Linked DNA regions of Mus musculus: all the other regions are reported to be linked to region 1. Evidence: microRNA targets listed by miRTarBase, many of them from high-throughput screens and not tested one by one. Region 1 holds a microRNA gene; each other region holds the end of a gene's coding sequence.

Region 1 (3,381 bases):
GGCGGGCGGCACTCGGCGTCCCCGAAACTTTGTGCGCGCCGGGCCGGGCTCCGGGACGCGGGAGCTGCGGGGCGACGGGGCCGGGGCGCCACCCCGCGCTCCGCGTGGGCTTTGTGTGCGGCCGCGTGGGCAGCTCCCCTCGCGGGCGAGGCGACCCCTGCGGTCCGCCCGGGCGGCCCGGGACGCCCCGGCCCGCCCTCGGGGCGGCGCGGAGCCCCGGACGGGCGCTGGCTGCGAGCGCGGCGCGGGAGGGCCGGGCGGGTTCGGCAGGAGCGGCGGCCCCGCCGCCATGTTCCTGCGGGGCGGGCTGCGCGCGCCGAGGGCGGGGGGGGGGGGGACATGGCGGCGACTGCGCGCCGCCGCCGATTGTTCCCGGCTTAGGCCTCGGGCCGCGTGCGGCGAGCGCCCTGTCCGCCCCCCTCCCTCCCCCGGAGCCTGGCCGGGGGGCGCGCGGGACACAAAGGACGGCCGGCGTGTCCGGAGCCTCGCCACGCTCGGGCCTCCGCGCCGCCGCTCGCCGCGCAGCCGCCCAGAAACGGGCGGGGGTTGGGGGGGGGGGGGAGTCTCCGCGTCCGGCGCAGCGCGGCCCGGCTCTGACCTGCCGCCCCCTGGCGGCCGCGCGGGGAACCCACAAGGGCCGCCTGCCCCCTTGTGCGACATGTGCTGCCGGCCCGGGCTCCATGAGCGTGGCGGGTACTTGGCAGGATCCCGTGTTCCCGTCCGGTTTTCTCTTGATAAGCTGGCGCGGAGGGGAGAAAACTGGAGAGCGCAGCAGGGCTCGTGGTTCTTAGGTGACCAGAGGGAAGAAAATGAGCAACGTGCCACGAGGATCACAGCAGTTGGGGAAACAACTCTTTATCCCGGCGTGCAGCCACGAGGTCCTGATTGGGGGAGGGGTGGTGAAGACTAGTCCTGGTTGCCCTTTTTCTCTAGCTTGAGCTGGACAGTAGAGTTCAGGCTTGCTGCTACTCATCTTGCAGTATTTCAGGGGCACATTAATTCGTGCACGGATGTGAATCTTGGTGGGTTTTCAACTTTATTTTGTTACAGCGTTTTCCACCCAATACATTGTTGCCCTCAGGACCTTGTGGTCCTGGCTCTCTCTTTTTTTTTTTTTTTTTTTTTTTTTTTGGCAAATGGATAGAATTGCCCCTTAGGAAGATTAAGAGAAGAGCAACTTGGAATGGGGCTCGGAAAGTGGTAGTAATTTTGAGCAAATGTGCTTACCCTTTCTCTGTCTTCACCCCACCCCCAACCCTAGTCATACACGTGGACCTAGCAGCACCCGAAGCATTGCCCAAGGATACTTGCTGAGAAGGAAGTTTGCCTGAGTGGGTGAGTATATTCTAGTTTTGTAGCTAAAACTTCTTTTGAGACCTTTGGTTTTCACTTTTGTCTTTGAGCTTGTACAACATTCTTGGTCTTTTAAGGTATGAAATAAATACAGTTTGAACTCTTGTCATAAATGAGTGAGCCACATTTTAACGTAGTAAATCTACAGTGGCTTTTGGACACTAACCAAATAGTTGTAGACCCTTCAAGTTGGAGTCATAGAGTATTTCTAATTTGGGGTGATACTAAGACTTTTTTATGTTTTATGACTAATAAACTTGAAAATGACTAAACAATAATCATTAATCTTGTCGAGTATCTGACAATGTGGAGGACAGAAGAAAGGGATTGCTGCCTGGTCAATGTGAGGCTTTCCTCTAAAGGTAGTACCAAGTCAGACTGCCTTCCTGATAACAGGTCTCATTTTGTAGGACCCTTATTGTGTGTTTTTTGGGGAAGCCTACTGTAAAAGCCAACATTTTAATGGGATTGTATCTTATATTTCTTTAAGGAGTTTTTTTTTTTTTTTTAAGGCTTACATGTGTCCAATTTGGAACTTCTGGCTATTGGCTCCTCCCCTCCCCCCCTTGGGTATAAGCTGTAATTGATGTTTGTGACAGAATTTAGAGCTTTGGCTTTTTCCTTTTTGTCTAATTATTTATTTCAAATTTAGCAGGAATAAAGTGAACCTCACCTTGGGACTGAAGCTGTGACCAGTCAGAATAATGTCAAAGTGCTTACAGTGCAGGTAGTGATGTGTGCATCTACTGCAGTGAGGGCACTTGTAGCATTATGCTGACAGCTGCCTCGGTGGGAGCCACAGTGGGCGCTGCCTCGGGCGGCACTGGCTGCGTCCAGTCGTCGGTCAGTCGGTCGCGGGGAGGGCCTGCTGGTGCTGCGTGCTTTTTGTTCTAAGGTGCATCTAGTGCAGATAGTGAAGTAGACTAGCATCTACTGCCCTAAGTGCTCCTTCTGGCATAAGAAGTTATGTCCTCATCCAATCCAAGTCAAGCAAGCATGTAGGGGTCTCTCCATAGTTGTGTTTGCAGCCCTCTGTTAGTTTTGCATAGTTGCACTACAAGAAGAATGTAGTTGTGCAAATCTATGCAAAACTGATGGTGGCCTGCTATTTACTTCAAGTGTTGTTTTTTTTTAAACTAATTTTGTATTTTTATTGTGTCGATGTAGAGCCTGCGTGGTGTGTGTGATGTGACAGCTTCTGTAGCACTAAAGTGCTTATAGTGCAGGTAGTGTGTAGCCATCTACTGCATTACGAGCACTTAAAGTACTGCCAGCTGTAGAACTCCAGCCTCGCCTGGCCATCGCCCAGCCAACTGTCCTGTTATTGAGCACTGGTCTATGGTTAGTTTTGCAGGTTTGCATCCAGCTGTATAATATTCTGCTGTGCAAATCCATGCAAAACTGACTGTGGTGGTGAAAAGTCTGTAGAGAAGTAAGGGAAAATCAAACCCCTTTCTACACAGGTTGGGATTTGTCGCAATGCTGTGTTTCTCTGTATGGTATTGCACTTGTCCCGGCCTGTTGAGTTTGGTGGGGATTGTGACCAGAAGATGTGAAAATGACAATATTGCTGAAGATGCCGATTTCCACTGTAAAAATGTTCACGAGCTGATGGAGTGTATGAACACATTCTGTAAACTGTGATTTCTATTGCTTTCGTTGGTGTGTAAAACGGGATTTTTTTAATTGAAATTTGTGTTTTTAAATTGTGGTTTGTTTTTACTGAATCATTTCATTTTCGTGTTTGCTCGCTGGATTTAGTAAGAAGTTGTGTGTGGGGGCTTAGGTGAAGTTAAACTGCCTTTTGAACCTGGTATGACTTCAGGTTTATTTTACTCTAAAACCCATTAACATGAGTTAAGAAAAATGTTACTTTCTTTGGATCTCTGTTTATTAAAGTGTGACAATTCAGATGGAGTGTTTTCTGATAAGATTATTCCTAATCCGTGAGTTCTTAACAGTTAACAGGTGGTGGCCACTCTGTTAATGTGCACACCCTGTAAGAAAGAACTATCCTTGGACTGTTCT
Region 2 (3,381 bases), not on the chromosome of region 1:
GGGGGTGGAGGATGTCTGATTTGATATACTTGCTTTCTTAAGTTTCCTAAGTCAGAACCCAGGCACTTGTGTGAGTTGAACACATTTCCAAGAGCTATAGGACACTTTTGAGGCATGGTTGCCATGGTGTCCTTCTTCATTGGAGCAGATAATGCACTTGTGTGTTGACACCTCTGAAAATGATCGTCACTTGTTAAATCTTCATAAAAGTGCTGACTTAAGGACGGCTTTAAAGTCTTCATGATAGACTGTGTGAATGACTTCCCATCCTGCTGTGCAGACAGGCCTCAAGAGTCTGTCAGGGCTCCAGTCAGAGATTCTGCTCTCAAAGCTAAAATAATTCTGACTGGTCAGTCTAATTCTTTAAGTACTTGAAATGTGCCCCATCTCCACTGAGATGTGCTGTTAAATATTAAATATGGATCAGACTTAAAGACAACATAAAATAGTAAAATATTTTAGTAATTTTTATATTGAGTACATGCTACAGTTGGTATTTTTAACTTGAATTGGCCTAGATAAAATAAATATTAAAATTTATTTTTATTTTATTATGGCCACCAGAAAACTGAAAAGTGTTACGGGGTACCTATTTCTGCTGGTCAGTGCCAAAAAATAGCTTTTCTTGGTGAAAGAGTGCTTCCCTTTTGAAGATTAGGAGGTGGTGCTCAGGGAGCTGTTTTGCTTTCGTTGCAGGCACTTTAAAGAGGAGGAGACCGCCACAGCCCATTCAGCAGCCCCCGCGTCAGAGGCCCCGAGAGAGTTATCAAATGGGACACATGCGACGCTAATGCAGCTTTTGCCTTGGTTCTTCCTAGTGCCTACAGTGGGAAAACTTCACTCCAAAGAGAAACCTGTTAAGTCATCATCTGCAAATGATACCCTTACAGTTAATAGTTGAAGAAAAATGGCAAGAGATCATGTCCTCAGATCAGGTGGAATTACTCAAAATTTAAAGCCTGAAAATTCCAATTTTGGGGGTGGGGGTGGGATGGAAAAGGAACCCAATTTTCTTATGAACAGATATTTTTAACCTAATGGCACAAAGTCTTAGAATATTATTATGTGCCCCATGTTCCCTGTTCTTCGTTGCTGCATTTTCTTCACTTGCAGACAGACTTGGCTCTCGATAAACTTTTATCACAAATTGAAATATATTTTTTTCAACTGCCAATCAAGGCTGGGAGGCTCGACCACCTCAACATTGGATACATCACTTGCCAATGTACATACCTTGTTATATGCAGACATGTATTTCTTACGTACACTGTACTTCTCTGTGCAATTGTAAACAGAAATTGCAATATGGATGTTTCTTTGTATTATAAATTTTTCCGCTCTTAATGAAAAATTACTGTTTAATTGACATACTCAGGATAACAGAGAATGGTGGTGTGCAGTGGTCCAGGATTCTGTAATGCTTTATGCAGGCAGTTTTGAAATGAGAATCATTTTCCCTTTTCTTATGGTGGAGTTGGTTCTTACATACATTTTTTTCCTTGTTACATGGCTGCTGTGAGCAGGAGAGGCTGTGCTGAAGAACGCAGCTGATGGCTTGCAAACTGGACAGCAACAGCATTTGGCTTCAGAGTCAGCTCTTTTTGTAGATGTCTGATTTCTGCTTAGTATTTTATACTTTCTAAATCAATTCCATTTTTAAATTGCTAGGTGAATTTTTTCATGCCTTGGAATTATGTTGGAAATGATTAATTTTCATCTGTAGCCTGCTTATTACTTTGTGTATTCCATATACTTCAAGCCTGCTAATTCTGTTTTTATCCAATATGAAAAAGAAAATCAGTGTCTTCATTGAAATACTTGGACAGTTAGTTCTTCAGCACTGTCACTGATCACTGGTAACCACTAGAGATGGGTGATTTGCTCAGCAGGTAGTTGAAATTGTAGATAGGTTTTTCGACGTTGTTTTCCCCCCAACATTTTAGCAACAATGAAGGTAGACAGCACAGTGTCCCATTACAAACTTCTTTTTTAAGCAGATAAAATATTGGCTTTTTTAAAGAAAGAGAAAGCAAAAGCATTTAATGTATTAACAGGCTTATCGCTATGCAGAAAATGGAGGGGGCATTAAAAAATGTAAGCTTGTGACATATTCATTGCTTCTGTTTTCCAGCTACATCACTTAAATTAGAAGTCAGCAGCAGTGATCTTCCTGGCTTTACATAGGAGGCAATCTAGAGAAGGTTGACAAGATTACTGTGTTTGGCTTTTTTTTTTTTTTCCTTTTTTCTTAAGAGTCTAAGGTTTACACAATCACTCACAATGTGACGCGAGCCAGCAAGGCCAAAACCGCTAGAGAAACAATGGGATCTCTCCTTGTAAACTTGTACAGTACGCGGGACTTTTTTCAAAACAGCTTTTTGTACATGATTTAGAGACAAATTTTGTACATGAAACCCCAGATAGACTATAAATAATTCTAACCCAACAAGTAGGTAGCTGTGTATGACACTGCTTTAAATCATTCAAATGCCTTTGTTTTTGGACTGTGCAAAGGTTGGAAGTGGATTTGCATTTCTAAAATGGTGACTTTTATTCTGCAAGAGTTCTTAGTAACTTCTTGAGTGTGGTAGACTTTGGAACATGTACATTTTTTGCTTGTAATGTTATCCTGTGGTAGGGTTTTGCCCTATTTTATTTTGAGTCTAAGTTAAATGTTTTCTGAAGAGATACATGCACTGAACTGTTTCCACTACAAATCAAGATGTGGTTAAAAAATGAAAGGACCAGGACCAGTGAGATCTAATACTACTGTCAGTTTAATGTCCACTGTGTTTTATACAGTATCTTTTTTTTGTTGTTCACTTTGGAAATTTTTACTAAAACCTGCAAAAAATAAAGTATTGTGCAAAGATGTAAGGTTTTTTGAAACTTGAAATGCATTAATAAATAGACTTGATGAAATCAACTTGAGGTCTATGCTCTTTGGACTCAGAAACATCAGAAGTAGCCACCATGCTGAATGAAGGACTATTCAGCAGAAAGGTCTCTCCATGCAAGTGAGGGCATCACTGCTACAGTCCAGAGCCATGGTGCACAGTTGATTGCCATTATCACATGTACACTGTATGTTGAAAGTTACTCAACACAACGGCTTCTCACTGTTTCTAAGCAGTGTCCAGGACTTGTCCTAGTGAAGAGCTGAAGCTAACTGGAAACTTGTAGTCTTCTTTCTGTGTTCTCAAAGTTCTGTCTGGGTGCTAAGTGCTTTTATTAATGTCTGATTTATCTGGATGTGGTAGTGCCTATCCATAATTTCAGTACTGTAGAGGCTAACGTAGGAGGATCTGGAGAGAAAAGGTAAACCTAGGCTATATGCAAGATTCCTTCCCTAAACAATCCTGGTAAAGAAATTACCTAGCA
Region 3 (3,381 bases), not on the chromosome of region 1:
TGGGAAGGAACATCCATCTTAAAGGCAGGACAGATAAGACGTTTACCTGGCCTTCGAGGTATTTCTCTCTCACGCAAGTGCTACGAGTATGCCTTGGGACGGATATAACTCTAACCAATGAAGCCACAGCAAAACAACCGACCAGGTCAGCACCCTGATGCCAGCCCAAGCCCAGAATGCACTCTGATCACAGTAGCTCACCCGAGGTCTGTGCTCACCAATGGGTAGGGACTTTTCTCAGAGGACTTTCCTTTTATTCATTTTCATATTCGTGCACTCTCTCCCTTCCCCCTCCCCCCTCTCCCCACCGCCCCTTCCTCATAAAATGTATAACATTATCTATAACCACTGGAGTTGCTTGCTGGCGGAGGCGACCCGTGCACAGCGGGCCTTGGCAGAAGCACTCCCAGATGAGCTGAGGACTGTGGTGCAGGCTCTCACTTGCCCAACATACAACCCACAGTGGTCTGGAAACCACGATCACCTTCCCACATTCGACCACCCTTTTCACTGGAGGTAAGGAAGGAGTTACTTGGCCAAGCTGTAACACCCTCACTTAACTCAGAGCAATTGAGTCCCAGAGTTGGAAAACTGCTAACAGCTACGATGGGAGCTTGTGTAGATAGGACTCCTCAGACGTAAAGGCTGTGAGAGTGTTAATGAAGAGAGGAGAGACACCCTCCTTTAGTAAGGTACAAAGGATCTGTGTGCTTTCTGCTCACTGTGGCGAGACAGTGTCAGAACTAGTCAAGAGAGCTAGAACAGAGAGACCTAATCCATACTTTCAAAACAGAATGAATGTCCTGCTAGAGAAAAGGAAACTTGAGTCAGGTGCACAGGAGGGGGCTAGCCTTCTGTGCACACAGTTAAGAGCTTACCTCGGAGTTAACAAGCCACCCTGGCGAAGGGCAGAACCTTAAAGCTGAGATGAAAAATAGAAAAAACTAGGAAAAAGGTGAACAAAAGCCTACATCAAATACTTACATATCACAGTCCTTTGCAAAGCTTTGTGGTCATGGGGAAGGAAAGCACATTTTCAACTGTATGAAAAGCAAAGAAGATGCCTTCAAAATGCCAGGTATAGATAGATAGATACCCAGTCCAGCCAGCACATCTTACCCAGTGCTTAACTTCTGCTGGAAGTAAGGCTGCTTTTCAACCATGTTAGTACATCCTTATGTGTGATGATGTGACATGGAACGGTGGTATGCCTGTCTTCATTGTCCTGGAAGCGTATGCAACCCAGCAGCAACTCGGTGGCTGACTCAAGAAGCATGGACGAGAGCCGTTCAGTGCTATCGCACACACTGTTCTTCCATTGGAAGTGGCAAGGCTGGGGAGGTAGCTGAGGGCCAGAAGGCTTAACAGAATCCCATGCCCCTCAAAGAAACAAGGTGTCCCTCTAGGCTGGAGAACTTCAACATGCCAATAACCACAGCGGACCCTTAATTAGAAACCGTCGAGTGTCTCTTTTAATGTCGTGTTGAGGAGAATTCAAATTGCAGCATAACAGAACCCATCTAAAAGAATTAATCTGCCAGCAGTTAGCATATTGTTTAGCAGTCTTATTCAGTCAGAGAAACACACGGTTGAAAAAAAAAATCGCGTTTTAATTCCCCATGAGTAAACTGACAGGGATATAAAATCAGCACTGACAGACAGGGAAAACAGTCAAGCCCATTGACCCTACAGAAAGAGAATTGTCCCCAAGCCGAGGAAGTGTCCTCACCTGCCTTCCCACCTCCCCAGGCCCACGCTAGTAGCACACGTGCAAAAATACAATAGGATACAACTACTGCAATTGTTATCATTTTCTTTTGCCCTCAGGTGCAGAGCACCTGACAGCTACATGCCGAGTCATGCTAACAAAACTAAGCCTTTCCATTTCCTTAATAGTAAAATTACCATTACTGAATCATTATCATAAAAAGTGCACTCAAGTACATTACCACTTATTTTAAATAAACACCAATTTTGAAACAATCAACTTTGAAAACCTGCATAAGTTTTTTTTTTTAAATCCCTGATTACATTTCTATTTATTCACCGTGGTAGTGTGAAACATTGTATTCTTAGAAACTACCACTTAATTTCCTCTAAAAAACAAAACAAAACAAAACAAAACAAGAAAAGACCCATGTAGTATAGATCCGCAGTGAAGGGAGAAAAACAATGTGTGCTTGTCACTTATCTTCACTGTGCGTGAGAGCTGGTGTAAAATATGGTACTTGTGGCACGTGAATGTGTGGGAAAACACAGTTAACTCATGGAACAGAACTAGTAGCTTACCGAGGAATCCCTGTTAAATTCAAGGTTTGAGCGTCCCTCTAAGCCAATTCTCTGTTGATGCTGCCAAGACATCACCCTGAAGGACTCTGTAAAGCCTTGGACACAGGGTCATGATTTCCACACAATAGTCAACTGTGTTCAATTGAGACCTAAGAGTCCATGATGCCACCTCCTGAGCTCAGAGACGGAAGGTCTCACGCACCCTTCAAAACAGAGACGCTATAGGACCCACTGACGTTGAGGCTGCTGCAGTTTCCCATCAGAAGACCAGACCCCAGAGACTCTTGCGGGCCTTCTTTTCTTTATATGTTCTTTATATGGAGTTGTACTGTGTGATCCAAACTAAGACTCAGGCTCACGTGATCCTCTTGCCTTGGTCTCTCCATGCCCTAGGGCTTGGATTAAAGGGTGCCTTTAAGATAATTGTTAAGTTTGGTGGTCTCTGTTTATACAGTTACCAGCAACCACCTTGAATTTTCCCGTGAATAATTTGATGAGGGGTACATATGTTCCCTGTAAAGACACCAACCTCTGAGTTCCGCCACCGCCTCAGGGAAGTCATACTTCATATAGAAACCGGAAAGAACCCTCACTCCTGTAAAGATTAAAAACTACCCAGAAGATGCATTTTGCTAAACAGCTTACTTATGATTGCTACTTACAAAGTGATACCAGCAAAGAAGTGTGTGGCCAGAACAAAGGAATGTCCAACAGTTCCTGCCGGTTACACGCAGACGAGCCACGTGCTCCTTGAGAAGGCCCCACCAACCTGCCAGCCTCTGGTTTCAGATCAGCAGTTGGAACTGTCCGTCTCTCCTGTTTTCCCACCGCTGTCTTCTTTGTATTCTGGTTGGGTTTCACCTCCCTCCTCCTCGAATTGAGTTGGGTCTTTTTCAGCAGCCTGGTCTTTGGTTTGGGGTTCGTGTGTGGAAACAGGATCTAATACTACAACTGGCTCAGCTTGGTTTTCACTGCCCACACATTTTCTCCTGTATCCACCTTTACTGGGAGGCCTGTGAGAAGAGAGTTAGATAGAAAAACAACTAAGCAGAAGAAAGAAAACATTTGGATTTCAGGTTCCTGGATTCAGAA
Region 4 (3,381 bases), not on the chromosome of region 1:
TCTCCTCACACTGGGATGACAAGGGAGCAGGCTGGGGAGTACAGAGTCCTGGTCTCCTCACAGTGGGATGACAAGGGAGCAGGCTGGGGAGTCCTGGTGCTACGGAAGCATCTGTTCAGGGCTGGGGAGAAGCCTTAGTGGGAAAGGCACTTGCTACGAAGCCTAAGCATCTGAGCTTGATACTTCTAACCCACATTGTGGGAGGATCTAATTGACTCTGAAACGTTGTCCTCTAACCAACACACACACACACACACACACACACACACACACACACACACACACACACACACACAGAGAGAGAGAGAGAGAGAGAGAGAGAGAGAGAGAGAGAGGGTCTTACTCTGTAGCAGGGCTGATCTTCACAGGAATTCTCCTCCCTCAGCCATCTGAGTGCTGGGATTACAGGGGTGATCTTTGATTTCTTTACACTGCTGTAAATGTGTCCAAACTGATAGAATACATACGTACTGTGGCTTTAATGTGAAGAGCCAGGTGTGATGATGTCTCATGTCTCTAATCTCAGCATTTTGGGAGACTCGGGCAGGAGGGGCCTTGAGTTTGAGGCCAGCCTACATTAAAGGATAAAACTGTCTCCAAAACAAAACACAGGGGGGAAAGTATATAAAGAATGAAAACAAGGAACAAGCCTTTGGTTCCTGGGTACTGTGCACAGACAGTGCTCTCCGTATCTCCCTTTGTGGATGTTGGGTTTTCTAGCATTAGAGCAACCTAACAGCTTTAACGCTTTGAACATCTGAAATGGGGAAGCCGCTATGACTATGACGTATGACTCTAGTCAGACATACCACCTCTCTTATTATTTAAAACCAATTCTTAATAAAACCTATGAATATTAACCTGTCCTTAGTTTTCCAACGTTTAGGATATATATAAAACAATCACATTTTGACAAACAGGGGCTCTTCAAATGTGATGTCTGGCAAGGATTTCGTCCCGGAGTCTAATAGCAGAGCCTGTAGGCTTCACTCCTGAGCTACACTGCTACACAGGTGTAGTTTTGAGCCCGCACAAGTGATTTTGGATCATGTGGAGTACGAGTAAAAGGTTTTCATGGAAAGATGGTCTTAGGAGGTCTAGCCACAGTGTAGAAATCTTTCTTATATAGACCTAAAAGTATTTTTGTTGATGATTCATAATATGAGAGAAAATAGTACAATTCACATGGTTATTTAAAATTTTCAATCAAACACAGGGCTATCTTCCCAATAGGAAACTTATTCCTGGTGAACACATCAAGTTTTCAGCTTCACAGTGAGTGGTACTGCCAAGTACAGAGAAACACGGAACACGTCACCAGAGCACCCGCTCAGTTATTAACACAGTGGCCAGCTGACGTTTATTTATTTGACAGTGGATGACCAAGAAGCAAAAATGTATTACCAAATGTGGACAACCAAGAAGCAAAAGTGTATTACCAAATGTGGACAAAGCATGTAACTGACATAAGTTTTAATGGGATCAAATGAAATATATTTCTGATTGCATTAAGACACACACATACATTGTTAGACAAACAGACGCTGAACTGACGGCGGGAAGGTCTTGCAGTGGAACTTGGGTGGTCAGTATTCTCCTATTTTCACGCCTTATATGAAGAGAAGAAGAAAAGTGATACACAGAGGCCTGATAGATTATTTCTTTTCAGTAGTGGTGAACAAGGTCAAACCAAAGGACAGCAGGCAAGACACAGACACTGGCTCCCACAGCGAGAGGTGTGTGGTAGGAACAGTGAACTCCTGAGAGCATCCCACTGCCTTCTCACATGATGGCTCAGTCCTTTTTATTTTCAACAACCATGTAATTGAAATTTCGTCATGAATTGGGACTTAAAAAAAATCCTAACAAAATCCTGGGTTCTGTATGGAAACATTTTTGTGCAATACAGTTATTAAATACTCACAAGGTAGCCTATGCTTTAATAATAAAGATCTTTGATACTAAAGTTTTTTATTTCTGCTAGCTTCTACTTAACCATTCTTCCAGAAGTTATTTTTATACATATTTATTCATTATTCAACACATTCTGTAAAATATAAGAACTAATGTAGATTCTCAAGGTCATATGCGGTGACAGATTACAGGGACACACTGATTCCTTGTTGCATACAAGTTACATATAAGAAACATGGCTGGCACATTTCAGTGATCCATGCAGAGTAGGCTCACACAAAAACCAAACCAAACCAAACCAATAAAAACCAATTAAACAACAGTCAGCCATGAAAACTTACACTCCCAGTCACCAACAGGCGTAACAGCAGAGACACCAGCACTGACAGCTTCGTTAGAACCGTGCTGGGCTCAGTCAGTTCTGTGAGATGGACCAGAAAGACACCGGCAACCAGGAATTTTCCTGGCTCTCAACACTGAGTTCAGACTAAACTCTCCTCACATGGCTTTTCCCTATACCGCAGGCATTTCAGGCTTCAAATAAAAACAATCGACCTTCACCGAAAAGCTGAAAATTGTCTCTTGTGAGTCTCTGGAAGCAGCTTGCTGTAGGGCCTTGAGGCAAATGCCAGGGCTCAAACAAACTGAGGAGCAGTCTCGAGATGTAAACAATAATGTCACCATCTTGGACAAAAGCTCTTCACAGGAAATCCTATCCCGGTAAGGCCAACTTCTTGGCTTTTGAAGGTCCATGTGTTTTATATTCTAGAAGTACCGCATATGGTTTTTTTGTTTCTATTATAGAGACTTATGGACTAGATAAAAGTTCATAGTGTTGCTTGAAAAAAAAAACCAAAAATAAAACCAAAAACACACAGCATGGAGAAGCCACTGAAAACCCAGCGCGGTGTTTTGGGCTTGTCTTTGTTTCCGGTTCACATTTTACTTTTATGGTTGGCATACGGAAAACCAAACTGGGAAATCATAATGTTGGAGTACTTTAAGGGCATGCCGTCGTAGATGTTAACGAGCTTATTTATACAGTAGGATCTCTGCAGAAAGTGCTCCGCCCGGTGCCACATTCCGGAATACCCGTTGGTTTCTTTTTCCAAGTTGACCATGTTTATGGGTTTCACGAATATCCCTGAAGGCTTGCCAGTGTGCCTGGTGACGAGGAAATTCATAGCGATGTCGTCACAGTTCTGCGTCTCATCGATCAGCGCGTGGACGGCTGCAGGCTGCTTCTGGAAGAGTTCCAGGTATTTGCTGTTGAAGAAGGAGGCTCCGATGAGCACCATGGAGTACTGGTCGCCATTCCCGGGCCCCGGTGTCTGCAGCTCAAAGCCTCCGTAACTGTAGATCCCGGAGGAAGTAGAGACGTGCTTTCTAGGTACAAATCCTATGATCTGATCAGGAAATTGCTGAAAAGAGGAGGAAAAGGAACAGTTAAGTGTGGTGTTTCTTTGG
Region 5 (3,381 bases), not on the chromosome of region 1:
AGGCCTCTGTTCTTTGTCTGCTGGCTGTCCTTCACAACAGTAGTCTTTGTAGGACACAGGAACCATGCATTGGGTGTCTGCATGACTGACATTTGTGCTGATTTCCTTCCTATTTCATCCATTGATCATTTTCCTAATTTGTACTTGAAAAGGAGACTGAGAAAGCTTTTTGGTGGCAGCCCATTTGTCAGCCCTCTGGTCTGAGCCCTCTTCCAAATATCCATGTTGCCTGTCTTCCTTCTCTGTTGCAGGACCTTGGTGTGACCAAAGTGGGCCATATGAAGAGGATCCTTTGTGGGATCAAGGAGCTGAGCCGGAGCTCCCCTGCCGCCGAGGCCTAGCCTCTGCGTTCTCTGCCTGCATTCTCCGCTCCTCCCGAGACTGAGGCCTAGGGAGGACACTGCCAGCACTCAGCCCCTGGCCTTTCTCATGGTGCTATTCCTTTTGTTAGAGACAGGAAGCCCAATGCCCGTTGGTAACAGCTTTGGAGTCTTGAACATACCAACACAGCTACCTTTGAGAGAATACTTTTCCTAGCTGCAGTCATTTGGGGCAGACTGTGTCACATCCACTTGTGGCTCTTGCTAACCTGCCTTGTGGGCCACAGGGAATGTGGTGAATGAAGCCTGACCACCCAGCACCTGGCATCCCTGCAGAACCTTCTTACCTGGGGCACATGCTTGGATTGTGCTGTGCACTCCTTTTCTGTGTCCTTTATTGGTCACACTGGGTAGTACCATCTTCTGTCTCTATTGGCTCTCAGAAACAGAGTTGGGTCAGGCCTCAGTGGCCCTCACCAGAATGTTCTCTGTGCCTGCTACCCACTCTGTAGTTCTTCACAGCAGCCCCACAAAGGCAGCCCACTGCTGTTGCCCCCTTTGTTCACAAGGTTTCATTGTTTTAAAAAACAAGCTATTTACTTTCCTGGTTTGAAAATGGCATGGATGTGTTTCCAGGCTTGTTATAGTCTGTGAGGAAGGAGGAAAGTCCTCCTGCTTAGGCCAGGTCTCAGGACACTTGGTTCTCCCCACTCTTGTCCTGTGGGCTGTGAGCATGTGGACAGCCCATGTATCTCCTCAGGATGCTACAGGTGTCTGCAGTCCAGTCTGGGGCAGATAAGGATTGCCACTAACTCAGCATTCCTGTGGAGACCAGGCTTCTTGGATGCTGGAAGTGACATATGCCATGAGAGAATGAATAGGGGCAGTCATCTGGAGCCATCTTGGGTGGCTTCTCATCTGCGCTGAGGTTTGTTGTCCCAGGAGATGCCTGTTAGGCCTCTTGACTGTTGCTGCCTTGCTACTATCTGCTGGGCAGAAAGCTCTCCAAGGCCCAGACTACATCCTGTGGGCAGTTCCCAGGTGAGGATGTCCTGAGTCTTCACTGCCACCTACTTACCCTTCTCTACTTTTGAGATAGTCCTCCACAGGGACTGATAGAACAGCTGGAAAGGGAGGGCTGCTGGTCTGTGGTCCTCACCAGAGATGACAGGTCTGTGGGCTCTGCCGGTGCTTCCCCATCTGACATGGGAAGGAAGTACTGAATTTGGGCTCTAGGTAGAGTCTGCAGCAATTCCAGCTGGGAGGCAAGGTTGACCTGCTGTTTGTTCTGAAGACTAGACTCCTTGTTCATCTTCCCTTTCCTGGTGACAGATCTGAGAGCCCTGGTGAGCAGAGTGGAGTATGGAAAGGGCCTACAGTGTTGTTCCTGCTGTGTTCTGCCCCAGGCCTAGAGTTCCACCCATTGTCTATCAGCTGTGGGCTGGGAGAATCTTTGCCCTGTGTGTGGTTGTTGCTGCCTCCCTGAATGGAAATAATTTTCACTTTCCACCTGGGATTCTATTTTCCACTGAGCAGTCAATGTAGACCAGAATGTGGAAGCAGGGATAACCTCAGATAATTCACAGAGCTTTTGCCAGCCAGACCAGCTGAAACTTAGGTGACTAGGGTCCTGAGAAACAACTGAGGGCAGTGGCCTTCTTGAGAAAGCTTCATGTTTGGGTGAGGGTGTTAGAAATCATTATTGTCAACAAAAAGTGAAAGGTCCAGTCTGAGTGCTGGAGGGACCTGCCAGGTGGCCATGCTCTCCGCAGATGTGTTCTGGCCATCACCACCCTGCCCCAAACCCATAGCAGTTCTCTAGAGTTCTGGAGAGGGATAGAATGAAGGATCCCAAGGAATTGGAGTAAAGGTTTTGTGCCTGCAGGTGGGGCTACCTTAACCCCTCATATTTATAATCTTAATTTATAGTGACCATCTGGAGCAGATTCCTCTTGTATTGTTATGTACATAGTCTGCATCAGAGAGTTGTAAATAAGTTCTTCTGTGTATAATAAAACAGGCCTGTTTTTGATCTTCCAGTGAGCATTCCTGTCCTCATTTCTGTGCTGACAGTTGCTAGCGGTTCTGAAGACTCGGTTGCTGACTTGGTGGCTATAAAGCAGAACAGAGCTGTTATATTCCAAGGGTCTGCTGATAGGCAGTTCAGCCAGTGTAGCTCTGGGTTAGTCACTAGCAACAACAAAAACTTCTGGACAGCAATCGCCATTAATGCTTCTTGTCAGGGTGCCGTCATTCACCTTCACACATGGATGGTTAGCTTGCTGAACTGCTGTGCTCCTGCAGGTAGTGTGGCGGTTCTGGTATTGTTGAGTCTCTCGTAATTATATCTGACCTAGGGGGAAGCTAGCAGCTATGAAACCACTTTGGATTGCCAGGGCATTCATAACACCTACTGCAATGGCCCTGGCCAGATCCTGTCCCCAGAATAGTAAACAGAGCTACTCAACAGCCAGTTCTTCCAGTACACTTCCCCAAGAGTCTATATTTATTTTAAGCCAAAATAGACTTATTTCCAAAATCAGTGTTTCTAATATAACTCATGTTTGTTGAATGTCTAGAGAAAAAAGAAAGTTGTGCTGCTTGAAGAAAAAGTCACGCAAGTCCCTCAAGCAGCAGGACACAGACGGCAGGCAGTATATGACAGAGTTGAGGACTGCAACTTTAAGAATGTTTTATTTTTTTCTTTAATAAAGTCTTAGTGTTTTTCCCTGTTTTGTCTATTCTGTTCTCCAAACACACACACACACACACACACAAAAGAAACCAACCAGATAGGCCTGTCAACAGACTTAGGCTGCAGCTAGCACTTGAGGCATGTCTTCTGGCTCCTCCAGGTACTAAGAGGGTCAGGGAGCCTCTGGCTTCCTGAAAGCAAAGTGTCTGAGCTAGTACATCAGGACTGTATTGCCTGGGGACAAACTAAGGAACCATGTCAGTTACAGTACAAGAAACAGTATCCAGTATCCAGAGGGCTCAGTTGTGGTCAAGTAATGTTTACTGTTTGGGTCTCCCAGAACCTCTTGGTGTGTAGCTACAAGGA
Region 6 (3,381 bases), not on the chromosome of region 1:
ATTGTAATGCATCTGTTATTGTTTTCATGCACACTGGTACTTGGTTAACTTCCAAGGGGAGCCTGCACTTGGCTGGTGGGGAGCAAAGCTAATTTCTCCAAGTACACTGCCTGCAGAGGCAAGGATAACACACCCAAGATCCCAGCTTTAGCACAGCAGGATCACCATAGATGTTCAAGGTCAACCTTGACTAATAAATTTAAGATACAAGGAACTTGTCAATGAGAAAGCCAGGTGTGGTGCTAAGCATTCTCCCCCGCAACCCAAAAACGTACCGAACTAGTTTAAAACAGGAATACATTAACCACAAATTTAAATTACAGGTCCTATATTCTTTACCATAAGGCAAATCAATACTGAATTTTGCTTTTATTTCACTTCTATTTGTTCAACTGACTTCCCTAAAAGGCTTGCACAAGAGAGGAAGGCGATAAGAAAAGACCCATACCACACCTTACTTTGGGGGGAAAAAGGTTTATTTTCTCTTCAGAAGAAACAGAAGTTAGGGGAACATTTACAACCCACATTAACTTGCAGTTGGTCCTAACCCTTTCGGGAACAGCTGTTAAAGTGTTAGGTGCTCTACCAGAATGAAGGTGTTCACCCAGATAGAATGTACATGGAAGATGCTTGAAGACTGCATGTTTTTTCCCTGAGAGACGTGTAAGACAAACAGATTTTGCTGAGAGCCATCTTTCCAAGCAGCCCCTCCCTCTTCTCTGAAGGATGTGCCTCAACTATTCATCTAGTCAGCACTCAGACCACATGCTTCTTCCCTCCAAAGCAGCCCCTTGCCCAGCCACTGCGCTCTCCAAGTCTTCATGGCCCTGGACCTAAAATACCTACTAAGATCCTGTCTGTACTTCAGCTTTCATTTCACCCTTTGTGAGCTGGGAAGTCAGGCTCCTAGTAAACAAAACTTCCATGGCTGGGTTATGAGAGGCTAACCTTTTAGTCACCTCAACCTCTAGGGTTTATTCAACTACATAAAGTGCTCTGAAGTCCGAAGAGTTAAACATAAATAAGCAAACTATGATCAAGGATAAATACACAGGTACAAATCACTCCCAAGCTGGCAGGCAGGGCACTTCTTCCCTATTACATTCTTAGTCATTTGATTCCTGCCTATTTTTATCTGCAGCCCTGACTAAAGGTCACATTCTGAGGCTGAAGCTTTCAAATGACCCTAGCTTAAATACCTTCAGTTACCAGTGGCTTTTGTTAACCGAGTTTAGCAAAACCCAGTGTTTCTCTAAACTTAAGTGAACACAGTCATACTTGGAGCAAACTAATAAAAGTATAAACGTATAATTTCCAACCTTTGAAATTCCCAAGGGGACCTTTGATGTTTTTCTTACCAAAATAGACAAAGTAACAATGGAAAGCATGCCAATCCAAGAATGCCAATCCCTGGTCACTGTCGGTCACGGGGCTCAAAGAGCAAGTGTTCCTATCCTCTGACAGGAAAGCTGTGCTGACTCTGATTAGGATGGGGGAGGGGTTATTTAGGTTCAAAGTTTTGGGGGGGTTGGGGTGAGAGTTCTAATGCAGATAACTAAAATGGCCAGTGAAGAGCACAGGGAGGAAGTGTAGACGACTCTATAGGGGAACTGGGAGCATAACACGCCAACAGTAAAGGAAGTAAAGGCTACACCTAGAGACCAATACAGAAATTCAAAACAAAGCTTGGCAATCCTTAGTAGACAAGAAATACATATTTGTTTTATTGACACCAGGTATAAACTTGTGTTAAACAAGTAAACCCAGTGAATAGCACCATGGTTAAGACTCTAGCCTGCTTTACCATTTACAATTTTGTAAGTCAACAGGGGATCAAATGTCTTACATCTATCTACCTGTGATCTTTAAATACAAAAAAAAAAGATTGGATAATTAACCCTGCATAGTTATAAATCTATAACCAGTCCACACACACAACAGGCTCTGCATATACACTAGAACGGATGACAAAGTCTTAAAAAGCTGTAAGAAATACATTTCTAACTAGAGAAGCTGCAAATTTCAAAAGGGTATGGAAAAAAACTAAATCCAAGACTTCCCTCTTATGTTCAAAGAAATAGACTTTCTGTAAAAATATATACAATTTTTACAGACAAATACATTTCATAAATTTTCTTAAAAATCGAGGCTGTTCAGTTTTGTAACTAATTAGTGAACCTTAAGTCAAGTACTTTTTGGCCATCACTAGGCTAATAAACTTAAGAATCATCCAAACCAAGCCAAAGTAGACAGGGCTAAAAGTCCTGAGCACTTGGGACTTTGTCAAGCACACCCTGGACTGCTCAGAGGCCTCCCTTCACATTCCTGTACAGCACTGCAGCTTCTAGTCATCGTTTGGTGACTTGTAGGTTACAAATCCATTTTACACAAGTCACCAACGTTGTTAATTAGGGCTTCTCTCTCAACACTCTGAGCAGAGTAATGGATATTTATTGAGCTTTGTGACTAGCCTGATGACTGGCCCCTCTTCCATCTCTAGATAGGAAATCAAACCTTTCCATCCACCCCTTTCATTCATTCTAGAAGTCCTTCTCCATGGCCTCTCAGTGTTTGCTGAGAGGGAACTTTGCTTCATTCAGACAGTGACTCTTCCAGGGGGAGCACTTTTCCCATGTATTTATTCTTGTTAGCCACAATCCTGTAGCCACTTTCTTTTTGCTATGTTGCTACAGTAGAACTGGACTGTTAAAATCCTGGGCAGCTTCAAGTCCACCTTCATAAATACACATGTTTTCACAGATGCATGTAGTTTGGTGGCTGGAGCTTTAAGAGTCCCCTATTGCACTCACAAGGCTATCTTATTAGATATGCCAGACCAGCCCCTACTCCAGCAACACCCGCAAAAGCCAGCAGCACATTTCTGATGCCGCCTTCTAGGTCCTGTACGTGGAAGAACTCCACAAACCCATCCTAGAAAACAAAAAAGAAAAGCACATTTTCAAGTATGGGTTTCTGCTGTTGTAACACTACATACAGAGAAACGGTGAATTAAAATATCCCCCAAACAATGGTGAACCAATTACCTACTTCTGGGATGCAAGAGACACTTCTGGAGTTCTTTCCAGTGAGTAACCACACAACAGTTACCTTACAGCAGTTGTATTGCACCTCAATTATTTTTGCACAGACTGAGCAGGGCCCATAACCAACCACTCTTTGGATCCATCCCCATGTAGTATTTCTCCCATGGGTATTTCCTAATGAGAATGAGTGCACCTTACACCAGAGCTGGTGTATTTGGGTATTAACTTCTAAAATGCAGGCTCTACCCCTTATCCATTTGATTAAAATGAGGGGGATGTAATTTAGTCATCACAGGTGACTCTTACTTCTTCACGGTTTGAATCCACTGCTCTGAAG
Region 7 (3,381 bases), not on the chromosome of region 1:
GTGCAGAGGACGGAAAGGCAAACCCGGTGTGGCCATCTTTGGACGCTGTAGAGTCTCTGGCAGGCATCTCTATCACATCCTCTTCCATGGCAGATGTAAAGCAACATCCAAAATTAAAACTTAGGGGGAGGGGAGATCTGGACCAGAGGCAAGGTGCTTGTCCGGCATGCACTTACAGGGCCCTGGGTTCTATGCCCAGCACTGAAAAAACTAATTCAAGATAAAAAAACTTGTAGATATTGCTTAACTATAACCTGCCAACCCCTGTTTGACATCCCCTCTGGAAAACGCCACAGACAGCCATCCACCACCACCGACCAGCACTGCAGACTCCACCAGGAAGAATCAGGGAACACGATTCAGAAATAATAGGACACCCCGCATTTTATTCAGTTCTGTATGACAAAAATAGTAACCTAAGTCTACAACATCCATTTCAGTCAGTAGATGTGTCAAGCCACAAGATTTAAATCATAAAATATATCGGGTCTCCCGAACACCCTGGCTGGTTCTGGGAGGCCCTCACCCCCGCGTGGTTTTTGCGGTATAAAAATAGTGTCTCTCTTCACCACGCAGAGGGACAGCCAGCCCTGAACACAGAATGGGGGTGGTCTCTGCACCTTCATCAGCCGTCTCGTTTATAACACTTTACATTTCTCTTTTCTTAAGTTATATACACATCCTTTTGAGAGAAGAAAGAACACTAACATGGTACCAACCGAGACAGGGGGAGAAAACACACCAAGAGGACACAGATAAATAACAAGACGTTCAACTGCTAAAGCAGGGCAACATTAAGCCACCCTGTCTCATCTCCCCAAAGCTGAAGCACCTGCTCCCATCCCCACACCAGCAAGAGATGGCATGGCCTGTAGATGCTCTACCTCACTACATGGAAAACAGAGCCAGAGAGACCTGTGTTCATTTCCAAAGTCAGGAACAGCTAATGAGCCCAGATGCTCTCTGCTCAGGCACAGGCCTGTGGTAGTCATTCCCCTGCAGCGCCTTTTCCTGTTGGTTCAAGTTGTATGAGGTGACTGCTCTATCCTTCTGTCTCACACTGTCTGGTTTGGCCTTCAAGCGCAGACAGCTCCCTGCCGAGGTACCCAGCTACCTACAGTATGTCTTGAGCAATTTTTGTTGGAAGTCCGTCATGTCACATCCCAGCATGCTTGCAAATGCACAAAAATGAGGTAGTACACACAACACTTGACGTTCAAGTTTCCAGTCCACCCTGCCTCCCAGCCTCTGGCTTCTGTGCTCAGTGGATACAGTTTAGACAGGTAGGTCATCAGCAAAAGATCGGGGTTGGAATAATCGGGACACCACACTGCGTTTGCACTTGGAAAGACAATAAATCATGAACTTAGGAAATGTCATGGTTATGACTGATTATACTGCCAGACACTCGGTATCCCGGTCTCCTTTGTGCCCTGACCAGTGCTATGAGGCAGTCCCGTATCGTGTGTGTGAGAGAGACAGAGGGGAGCCTATGGTGAAGTCACACTTGCGCAACGTGTGCTCTGTTGTCCCCCTGCCTTTCTATGTCAGGGACTGAGAGTCATTTGTCAGGGTTTTGTTATGATGCTCACAGTTTTTTCAAGAGGTTTTTGTAGAAAAGTTAAATAAATCATGTTAATTTAAGAAATGGCAGGTCTTATTTTATTGAGGTGCTGACAAGTCCTGGTGGCTTCTTTTCTGCTTAAACGGCTTAGACTTCTCATGTTTGACTTTAAGACAAAACAATAAACTGTGACATGGGTTTTTTTTCCCCCTCCATTTTCTTTAAACTGAAGTACTATTTATAAAATACTTTACATCTTTTTTTTTAATTTTCAAATTATAGACAAACTTCCCTAATACAAAATACTAAAAGTGCAATTGTATAAATTAAGATTTGCAACCACATTATACAAACATTACCTCTTTATTATACAGCTTTGATAATGTGAAATATTTACTCACAACTGTTTATAATGCTGTAAATCATTTTACGCTGATGCTTGTCTGTAACTTGTTCCCAGTCGACCGCGGGGCTACAGACCACACTAGAGAACAATTGTTCACATAGCAGCTACAAACATTTAAATTAAAGGTGGGGGGGGGGCGATTGTTACTGACAGGTACTTGCACACAAAAACCATGCTATCTTTCCCAATAGAACGTCACGATTTTGCCTGCATTGAATTAATCCACTTATTTATAATGAAGCAAATCTCGCTTTAAAAAAAAAAAAAAAAAGATCACATAGCCAGATGTATTCTGTGATACAAAAATCTTCATTTAAGGTTGGGCTATTTTATTGTTTGTTACCCGCATAATCTTAACATAAATACTATAGACAAAAAGACTGTCATTATACACAGCGTTTGGAGCACTGAACTGCTTCTTCAAGACGGAGAGTCCCTAAAACAGAGTTCAAGTGTCTACAGAATTTGAACAAAACCATTGAATGCAGCTCACGGGATTACCACAGGGGACCCCGTTCCCCTACACAAAGGGGTCACTAGGTTTTAGGAGAAATGAAGTAGATATGGTCTGACTCTTTCTGTTCCTAAGGCCATTTCTTTTCTTTCCTTTTTTTTTTTTTCCAAGCACATGAGCTTTTGTCTGAGATTTCCTTTAAAGGTTGCAGAGTTCTTACCTTCAGAAGAGTCAAACCCACTGCAGTACTGCGCCTCGCTCCCCAGGGCTCCCTGCAGCAGCCACACGGTGCAGATATTTTCTGTCGTGGGTATTAAGTATTAATGAGAGCCTAGGCATGTGGGGTCCAAAGCCTGACGCTCCAACTCTGCAGTGGACTTGGGACAGAAGAGGAGGGTGGAGTCTTAAGTGTATCCTGCTAATTGATCCCAATCTCCTTGTTATCCTCAATGAACCTCGCGAATGGCCGGCTGGCTCCCGTCTCTGAGCTCGCTTTGTCCAAGCTGACAATGGGCGGACTACTGCCAGTGCGTGCCTTGTCCACCCCACTGGCCATGGCACCCAAAGGCGGGATGGCACCTCCGCCTAGACTTACTGGGAGCTGAGGGATGCCTCCGTTCTGGATGACAGAGATCTCATTGTTCTTCATGGCCAGCCCGTTGGTGATGGCAGCGGCGTACTGGTTCCAAAAGCTGGGGTCCACATTCATCGCTCGAGCTGCCAGGTCCTTCTGGAACATCTCAGAGAACTTGAGAGCATCGCCACCGAGCAGAGCCATGGGGTTCTCCACAGACAGGCGGCGGCCACGCCTCGCGGGTGCATTGTTCCACATGTGGGTGCCCATGTGTACCTGTGGGGGAGACAGAGAGACAAGCCACAAGTAAAGCAGGTGGAGAGCTCTGAGCGGCTGTGGCTTGACGCCAATGGCCCATGGGCCTACATTCTAAGTATTAGTCT

What was found. Region 1 holds the annotated microRNA mmu-miR-17-5p (CAAAGUGCUUACAGUGCAGGUAG, at 2,062-2,084, shown strand). A microRNA usually pairs through its seed, bases 2 to 8, with sites in the 3' UTR of a target mRNA and lowers its output. Matches are read on the target gene's strand: a 7mer-m8 pairs with bases 2 to 8, a 7mer-A1 pairs with bases 2 to 7 and ends in A, and an 8mer does both.
Region 2: miRTarBase lists Adam10 as a target of mmu-miR-17-5p. The part of its 3' UTR that is shown has no 7-base or 8-base seed match.
Region 3: miRTarBase lists Shtn1 as a target of mmu-miR-17-5p. Seed matches in the 3' UTR shown: 7mer-m8 at 1,928-1,934.
Region 4: miRTarBase lists Extl2 as a target of mmu-miR-17-5p. The part of its 3' UTR that is shown has no 7-base or 8-base seed match.
Region 5: the mRNA of Dgkd is a reported target of mmu-miR-17-5p. The part of its 3' UTR that is shown has no 7-base or 8-base seed match.
Region 6: the mRNA of Mcl1 is a reported target of mmu-miR-17-5p. Seed matches in the 3' UTR shown: 8mer at 988-995 and 7mer-A1 at 567-573.
Region 7: the mRNA of Sall3 is a reported target of mmu-miR-17-5p. Seed matches in the 3' UTR shown: 7mer-m8 at 1,873-1,879.

What each region holds. Positions count from the first base shown.
Region 1 is chr14:115,041,623-115,045,003 of GRCm38, forward strand. It overlaps Mir17 (microRNA 17), which reads left to right and starts at 2,049; the gene lies at 2,049-2,132. It overlaps Mir18 (microRNA 18), which reads left to right and starts at 2,229; the gene lies at 2,229-2,324. Mir19a (microRNA 19a) reads left to right here and starts at 2,378; the gene lies at 2,378-2,459. Mir20a (microRNA 20a) reads left to right here and starts at 2,535; the gene lies at 2,535-2,641. It also overlaps Mir19b-1, Mir17hg and Mir92-1.
Region 2 is chr9:70,777,304-70,780,684 of GRCm38, forward strand. It overlaps Adam10 (a disintegrin and metallopeptidase domain 10), which reads left to right. Exons shown (of 16, transcript NM_007399.4): 16 at 697-2,926. The coding sequence ends at 791. Among named protein-coding and RNA genes, the nearest start is that of Adam10, 100 kb to the left of the region's middle.
Region 3 is chr19:58,971,907-58,975,287 of GRCm38, forward strand. It overlaps Shtn1 (shootin 1), which reads right to left. Exons shown (of 17, transcript NM_001114312.1): 17 at 1,452-3,302. The coding sequence ends at 3,080. Among named protein-coding and RNA genes, the nearest start is that of Eno4, 30 kb to the left of the region's middle.
Region 4 is chr3:116,026,967-116,030,347 of GRCm38, reverse strand. Extl2 (exostosin-like glycosyltransferase 2) reads right to left here. Exons shown (of 5, transcript NM_001163514.1): 5 at 1,332-3,335. The coding sequence ends at 2,850. Among named protein-coding and RNA genes, the nearest start is that of Extl2, 20 kb to the right of the region's middle.
Region 5 is chr1:87,942,132-87,945,512 of GRCm38, forward strand. Dgkd (diacylglycerol kinase, delta) reads left to right here. Exons shown (of 30, transcript NM_177646.3): 30 at 252-2,358. The coding sequence ends at 341. Usp40 (ubiquitin specific peptidase 40) reads right to left here. Exons shown (of 32, transcript NM_001198573.1): 32 at 2,990-3,381. Among named protein-coding and RNA genes, the nearest start is that of Usp40, 65 kb to the right of the region's middle.
Region 6 is chr3:95,660,257-95,663,637 of GRCm38, reverse strand. Mcl1 (myeloid cell leukemia sequence 1) reads right to left here. Exons shown (of 3, transcript NM_008562.3): 3 at 459-2,931. The coding sequence ends at 2,815. Among named protein-coding and RNA genes, the nearest start is that of Mcl1, 3.2 kb to the right of the region's middle.
Region 7 is chr18:80,966,631-80,970,011 of GRCm38, forward strand. It overlaps Sall3 (spalt like transcription factor 3), which reads right to left. Exons shown (of 3, transcript NM_001369133.1): 3 at 367-3,274. The coding sequence ends at 2,843. Among named protein-coding and RNA genes, the nearest start is that of Sall3, 19 kb to the right of the region's middle.